2 linked regions of the Ovis aries genome follow. The protein of the gene in region 2 binds, or shares a complex with, the protein of the main gene of each other region. Links are inferred from orthologs where the notes say so. Each region holds a gene or a part of one and is shown on either strand. Other genes may lie near its edges.

Evidence for each region. Proteins that work in one complex are often made in the same cells at the same time.
Region 1: the proteins of KHNYN (region 2) and ZC3HAV1 are in contact, whole or in part, in a crystal structure (PDB 9BGL), measured with the Homo sapiens proteins. The link is inferred for Ovis aries from reciprocal best matches to the Homo sapiens genes KHNYN and ZC3HAV1. Residues at the interface, in NP_001277186.1 of Homo sapiens: His651, Lys652, Asp654, Phe655, Gln658, Arg659, Pro661, Tyr662, Asn677, Phe678; in NP_064504.2 of Homo sapiens: Glu5, Val6, Cys8, Phe9, Lys12, Ile13, Ala16, His17, Glu29, Ile30, Ala31, Leu32, Leu113, Glu115, Phe118, Ser127, Gly128, Leu129, Asn130, Glu133.

What each region holds. Positions count from the first base shown.
Region 1 is NC_056057.1:104,110,560-104,114,125, reverse strand, and holds part of ZC3HAV1 (zinc finger CCCH-type antiviral protein 1), read left to right. Parts: intron 1-1,543; coding exon 1,544-1,634; intron 1,635-3,187; coding exon 3,188-3,318; intron 3,319-3,566.
Region 2 is NC_056060.1:20,563,258-20,567,526, forward strand, and holds the start of KHNYN (protein KHNYN), read right to left. Parts: upstream 2,801-4,269; 5' UTR 2,637-2,800; coding exon 2,528-2,636; intron 2,132-2,527; exon of another isoform or gene 1-2,131.

The sequences.
Region 1 (3,566 bases), on a different chromosome or scaffold from region 2:
AGTTACTGGGTTTTTGTTCTGTTCTGGGTTCCTCTGAGTATCTTTAGTTTTGTGGGATGGATTTACAGGGGGTGGGAGTTTGAGGGAGAAATGGGGGGAAAAAAGGGATGTAGCAGCTGCCTGGTAAAGCCTTTGAAGAAATACAAAGTTGATGAAAATGGATTTTTAAAGGAAATGTTGCTAAGGGATTCAGTGTGACAGCTCTGTCTGCTCATGAAACCCAGTCAAAACTACATTGTTGGAACTTCTCTGGTGGTCCAGAGGCCAGGACTTCATGCTCCCACCGCGGGACCTCAGTTTGATCCCTGGTCTGGGGACTAGATCCCACATGCCACAGCTAAAGATCCTGCATGCTGTGACTGTTTGATGCAGCCAAGTAAATAAATATAAAATGAACTGAGAAAACTGTTTGTGGGTGTTTGTGGAAAGAAGTAGCTTGAATCCAATACTTTTGCCACCTGATGCGAAGAACTGACTCACTGGAAAAGACCGAGATGCTGGGAAAGATTGAAGGCAGAAGGAGAAGGGGACGACAGAGGATGAGATGGTTGATGGCATCACCAACTCCATGGATGTGAGTTTGAGCAAGCTTTGGGAGTTGGTGATGGACAGGGCAACCTGGCATGCTGCAGTCCGTGGGGTCACAAAGAATCAGACATGACTGATTGACTGAACTGAACTGAGCTTAAATCCTGCTATCACAAACCCAGAAGAGACACATGGCTTTAGGATAGAATAAAGGCTGTGAGTGCTACTCTGAACAATCTGAAGAGAAGTGAATGATAGCATTTTTGATGAGCACCTTACAACAAACATATTAATTGAATCTGTTTTGCACTATACCAGTACAGTATGAAAATCAGAATTTAACATATAAACTGGGGCCAGCTTCTTTCTTTCCAAAAGAGTTTTCATTTTATGAAAGGAGGTTTTTAAAGAGTTTTTTCCTTAAAGCATTTTTAAAAATGTAATGTTCTCATAATGGAAAATATCAAACTTAAAGAAAATTATGTGATAAACCCCTATGTACATGTTAGGGGTTCTCTATTTAAGGGTGGAGAACCCTCAAATGTATGGTTACTCTTCCTGAAATACAGTTCATACAGGAAAGGCAGGATTCTCTTCCTATACCACTAAAGTGTTTAAATATTTATCACTTGGAAGAGAAGCTGTAAGACAAACTTACGTTTTTTAATATTATTTTTTGACTATGCCTGGAGAATCCTATGGACCGAGGAGCCTGGTGGGCTACAGTCCATTGGGTCACAAAGAGTCGGACATGACTGAGTGACTAACACAACACAAGGCATATGGGATCTTAGTTCTCCCACCAGGGATCAAACTCATGTCCCCCTTGTATTGGAAGCATGGATTCCTAACCATTGGACCACCAGGGAAGTCCCCTAGCCTTACTTAATGCTAACACATTAGGACTTAGAAAATTTCCAGAGGAACTTCAGCTTAGTTGGAGTTAAGCACAGAAAATCACTTGGGTGTATCAAACAGGGAGCCAGATAAATTTCTTTCTCTCTCTTGTTTCTAGCCCTCAGCAGGGGCAGACCTCCTCAGAACCTTTCGTCACTATATATCTTCCCCAACCGGACGCGAGCGTCTCAGTCTCGAATAGCTTTGAGGTACTTGCTTTTTACTCTGTAGTGGGTGAATTATTTAAAGATGCAACAAAGTACTTTGCTACAAATGTGTGTGGTTGAATGAATGAATGAGTGAAGGAGTGAATGAATCACTTCTGCAAAACCCTTGAAACGAGACTCAAAGGCTAACATCCGAATGGTGACTGTGTCACATGCCACTTTCCAAAGGAGACGGGCACCTCGTTGTTTCCAGAGTTCTGGCACGCACGATCTCCTTGGGACAGATGCTCATGACAAACTTGTAAAATAGATATTTGCTTCTCTACCTTACAGGCGAGCAAACTGGAACTGACAGTAAGAGCAACTTGTTAACTCCATTCATTGGAGTTAAAAAGCAGGTTGCTATGGGACTCAAAGTGGGCCTCAGCTTACCTGGTTGGGGCGACTCTTTTTAAAAAAATTTTATTTAGTTATTTATTTTTGGGTATGCTGGGTCTTTGTTGTTAGTTTTCTCTAGTTGTGGCAAGCAGAGGCTAATCTCTAGTTGTGGTATACAAGCTTCTCATTGCAGTGGCCTTCTCTTGTTGCAGAACATGGGCTGTAGGGCATGCAGGCTTCAGTAGTTGCAGCACACGAGTTCAGTAGTTGTGGTGCCGGGCTTAGTTGCCCTGCAGCATGTGGAATCTTCCTGGACCAAGGATTGAACCCATGTCCCCTGCATTGGCAGGCAGATTGTTAACCACAGGATCACCAGGGAAGTCCAGGGGCAAGATTCTTCCTGGATCATTTAGCTACATCAGAGCCGAGCTTTGGGTGCAGGCTACTCTGCCTGGGCTCCTTGGGTACCTCCATTGCCTCTGCTCCTGCACTGGCTTTAAGCAAAGAACTCACCAGGTCACTGGACTGAATCACACACCTGGGGGTGTGGGGCGGGGAGGGGCGTGTGCTGTTTGCCTTCAGGCTAATGCTCTGCTAGCCTTGAACAGATGGGCTCCGGGCCATCTAGTTCATCACTGGAAGGAACTATCAGATGTGGAAACCCTAAGCCTGCTTATCCTACCTGCTGTCAGAGGGTTGGCAAGGGTACTCCATGGCCACACATATGGACATGTGCTGTGCTAAGCCACTGCATCGTGTCCAGTTCTTTGGAACCCTATGGACTATAGCCCTCCAGTCTCCTCTGTCCACGGGATTCTCTGGGCAAGAATACTAGAATGGGTTGCCATGCCTTCCTCCAGGGGTTCTGACCCAGGGATCGAACTCCCAGTCTCTTGGATCTCCTGCATTGGCAGGCAGGTTCTTGACCACTAGCGCCACCTGCGAAGCCCACATAGGGACATGGAGTGAAAGTGAAAGTCGCTCAGTCGTGTCCGACTCTTTGCGACCTCGTGGACTATACAGTCCATGGAATTCTCCAGGTCAAAATACTGGAGTAGGGAGCCGTTCCCTTCCCCAGGGGATCTTCCCAACCCAGGGATCGAACCCAGGTCTCCCGCATTGCAGGTGGATTCTTTGCCAGTTGAGCCACAAGGGAAGCCCCATCATGCCTTAAGTGTTTCCTGCTTCACATTTACATATTTTTAAATTTCTTTCAGTTGCTTGAAATCCCTAACAATACTCCAGAATATGCTAAAGTAAGTGATCATTTTAAAGCTTCCATGAGAAATTTCAAGATTGAAAAGATAAAGAAGGTCCAGAACTCACAGCTCTTGAAGGCTTTTAAAAGGTGGGTGGCCACCTTATCGGGCTTCTCTTGACATAAAGTTTGAAAGGATTAGTGAAAACCTATCTTTGAAGATTTATATTCACTTTTTTATTTTGGTGGTCAACAGTTTCTTCAATCTCTAGTTGTGTTTTCATAGTGTAAGCTCAAACTTCTCTGTTTCAGTTTTAGCTTTACAATTAAATGCTTTCATGCATCTATCATTTAAAAGTTTTCATGTATTTATTTATTTTATAGCTGTTGCCTTAATG
Region 2 (4,269 bases):
CTAATTATAATCAGATTACAGTAACACTAAAACCCAAAATAATACTGGCTTAAACGAAATGGTAGATTATTTCTGTCTCACATAGAAGAATCTGCAAATAAAGAGCCCAGGAGTGGATGGCAGTTTTATGAGCATCACAGCCCACTTTCCCTTCTGCTGTTCTACCACCTTTAGCATATCACCTTCTGACCCAAGATGGCCCCTTGAGCTCCAGCCATTACATCAGCCTTACAGTCCCCAGGAAGGAGGAAGGAAGGACACACCCATTTCCTTTAAAAGAAGCTTTCTGAGAGGTGAACGTGAACATGAAGTCGCTCAGTCATGTCAGACTCTTTGTGACCCCATGAACTGTAGCCTACCAGGCTCTTCTGTCCATGGGATTTTCCAGGCAATAGTACTGGAGTGGATTGCCATTTCCTTCTCCAAGGGATCTTCCCAACCCAGGGATCGAACCTGGGTCTCCCACATTGTAGACAGACGCTTTACCATCTGAGCCACCAGGGAAGTCCAACAATTCTGATTGCATCTCATTGGCTATAATTTTGTCATATGTGTCCACATTGGGTAGGGGTGGAAAGGCTAGAAAATAAGTCCTTATTCCAGGCAGCCATGTCCAGCTAAATGTCAGGAGTTATATAAGAAAGAAGGAGCAATTGGATATTGGGGAAAACAACCATATTGGGGGAGTTTGTAAAAATGTAAATGAGCTAAGTTTATAAATGATGTCAGTAAAGTTATTGTGTTAGTTTTCTATTGCCCTGTAACAACTACCGCAAAGTTCATTTCTTAACACAACTTTGACTGATTTATTATCTCACAGTGTCTATAGGTCAGAAGTCCAGCAAAGCATGACTGGATTCTCTGCTCGGGGTTTCATTAGGTCATGTAGGCAGGGCTGCCATCTTCATTGAACTGAAAGGATCCATTCCCAAGCTCATTTAGAATTCAGTTCCTCATAGTTGCAGGATTGAGTTTCCTACCCATCAATCTTTGGGCCAACAAGGTCAGGCCAAGTACTTCTCACAGTACTTCTCTGACCTACCCTTAGGTTATGTCTCTGACTTTAAAAATTCTCTAATTTTAATGGCTCATATGATTAGATTGGGCCCACACAGATAATCCAGGAAATCTCTTTATTTTAAGACCTGTAACTTTAATTACATAGAAAATGTCCCTTTACCATTAAACGCAGGAGGTTTGGGTATGGACATCTTTGGGACATCTGCATGTTATAATCATTAAACTTAAAGGTGAAATAATTAAAGAGAAAGTATCCAGTTATAACACACTAATTCGTGGGAAAAGTGTGGACTTGAAAATTTCCAGTGATATATAACGTAAACACTGGCTCATATTTTCATCATCTTAGAAGGTCAAGTAGTTCCCAGGTCCCAACCAAGAATTCATAATTAATGATAATAATTAATAATTTGATTAACAATTCAAAACATCATATAACGTAAACACTGGCTCATATTTTCATCATCTTAGAAGGTCAAGTAGTTCCCAGGTCCCAACCAAGAATTCATAATTAATGATAATGATTAATAATTTGATTAACAATTCAAAACATCATCTCACTGAGATAATATTCTTCTGAGTGAGTGCATGAGTGAAGTCGCTCAGTCGTGTCCGACTCTGCGACCCCATAGACTGTAGCCTACCAGGCTTCTCCGTCCATGGGATTCTCCAGGAAAGAATACTGGAGTGGGTTACCATTTCCTTCTCCAGGGGATCTTCCCGACCCAGGGATCGAACCCGGGTCTCCCGTGTTGGAGGCAGACGCTTTAACCTCGGATATCTAAATTCAATAATTGGTCTAAACTGAGATAATGTCCTTCTCTTGGGTTTACAAACCCATTTTTATAATGAGTGTAAGTGTAAAAAAGTTTATAATCCTTATAAGATATGTGTGCTTTACCGAAATGTTTGAAACATGTAGAGAAGCTGACATATTATAATGATGATTCTACTGAAATGTGTAGGAAGATTTAAATTTGCGATCAATGTTTAGATAATTTGATGTGCAAAATGTGTAGATTTTGACTTGGTTATATAAACAGTGTTTGAATATATAGACGATTTTTGCATAAGTGGTTTTGTGAAGTAAATAAATTAGACAACAAATAAAGCACAGATGGTGGCTAGTGTTCCTCTCCAGACACAAAAATCTCCTAGGACTTTAAGGAACCTAAGAATAGAATCCAACTGTCCACCTTCTCTACACCCACGCCCTGGCAGCTGATTGCTACAAAGAAAAGTCCTGCTGAAGGGTATGCTGTGCTGCTAAATCCATGGTCTCTTGCTGCCCCTGGTCCTCTGTTCTCCCAGCAGTTCTTTTGTGGTTTTCTTTGCCAGCTTCTTTTCTCATCCTCCCCAGAATCCAGCTGAAGACTTCTGTTCTCTCCTTAAACCTCTTACTCCTCCAACTCTGCCCCCACCACCCGCAGCAGACTCTTCACTCTGCTTCACTGAGAAAGCAGAAACCCCAGGAGAGACCCTTCCACCAGCACATCCGGAAACTCACCGTCCTCCTCATCTCTCCTTCCTATCTGGCTCAGTAGAAGTTGTATCCTTCTCTCTGTCGAGGCAGCTATCTTCATCCACCTGTCGTGGATTCCGTTTCCTGCAAACATAGCCTTTTCTCTTCCTCTCCTCCCTCCTGTAGGTTAGATGTCTCCCTCCCCACTCCCTCCTTCTGTTTAGCTGTTAAATAGACTCAAGTCTCTTAAATCTAAAACAGAAAGAGATGGATGTGGAAACCGTGGTAGACATGTAGTTACCCTCAGCTTTATATGCTAGTGAGCGTCACCTCTCCTCCCCTTTACAGCCAGATACCTATGCGCCCAGGTTGCTCACGCCTTAAGTCAACTGTGGCCTCTGCTGCTGTATGTGAACTGCCCTCAGCTGGTCACGCAGGACTCGCGTGTCACTAATGTCACTATAGTCTGGTCCTCTGTCACTCAGGCTCTCCCTAACATTTGACCCTGTTGGCCACCTGCTCCTTCTAGACGCACTCCCTGCCCCCACTTCCCTGACTGTACACGCTCTGGGCTCTCCCTGCAGCTCTCTGCTGAGGCCTTTTTCAGGCTCCTGTACCCCGGCCCATCTCCTAAATGGCAGTTTCCCTCGAGGTTCTGTCTTAGAATTCCTTTTGTCCTGACGCATTCCTAAAAGCACGCGTCTCCGTCCATGTGCTGACAACTTCCACGTTCTTTAATCTCTGTCCATAACCTCCCTCCTAAATCTCAGGCTTGTACGTTGCCTGAAGTGAAGTGAAGTCGCTCAGTCGTGTCCGACTCTTTGCGACCCCATGGACTGTAGCCTACCAGGCTCCTCTGTCTATGGGATTTTCCAGGCAATAGTACTGGAGTGGATTGCCACGTTGCCTATCCCACCTCAAAGTAAACTTGCTAAAACTAGGCTTTCATCCCTTAATCTGTTTCCTGCTTTATTCTCTGTGTCTCAAAATAGACCATCTCTGTTGCCCCAAGGAAACAACCAGCCACAATCCTGCCTCCCTCTCCCACGACCCCATCCAGTCACTCACATCCATCAGTTCCATCCATTGTTTCCCACCCATCCTGGCTCAAACTACCGACCCACATCGCAGATAGAGTTCTATGAAAGCATCCTAACTGGCCCCTTGGCCTTTGGTGAGTCTGTTCTTCACACTGGGGTTGCCATAGTGATCTAGTTAAAAGAGCTTCACTGCCTTAAAGCCCTTTAGGGGATTGTGGGGGAAGGGAGAGGGTCTAGGATTAAAACCATATTCCTTAATGAGATTTTTTTAGGTCCTTTGCAATCTAGATACTGCAATCTCCTTTTATTCATTTTACAGGAGTGTAGAAACTTACAAAATAGCACCATTTATTAGCTGAGGGAAAATGGCACCCTTTATGTGTTGGGGGACATGTAGCTGGCGTATTAAATTAAGAATATGCAGATTATGACCTGCTAAATGAGGAGGCACAACCACACGGGATCAGCAAGTGACTCCCTCGGTTGCCCAGCTGGGGAAGTAAAGACCTGCAGTTGTTTTGATTGAAGGTACAGTACAATCCACAAAGGAAGTAAAATTGAAAGACTTATTACTTAGAGATCCCAGAAACCAGGAGCAGGGAAAGGGAGGCAGTGAGTAAGGAGAAGGGCAGTGCTCTGACCCAGTTCACATGTGAACAGGCTAGCAAGAGCGTATTACGTATAAGGTGATTGGGGTGCAGGTCACTAACTTTATACAGGTTCAACTCTAAATGGTCGTTTTCAAAG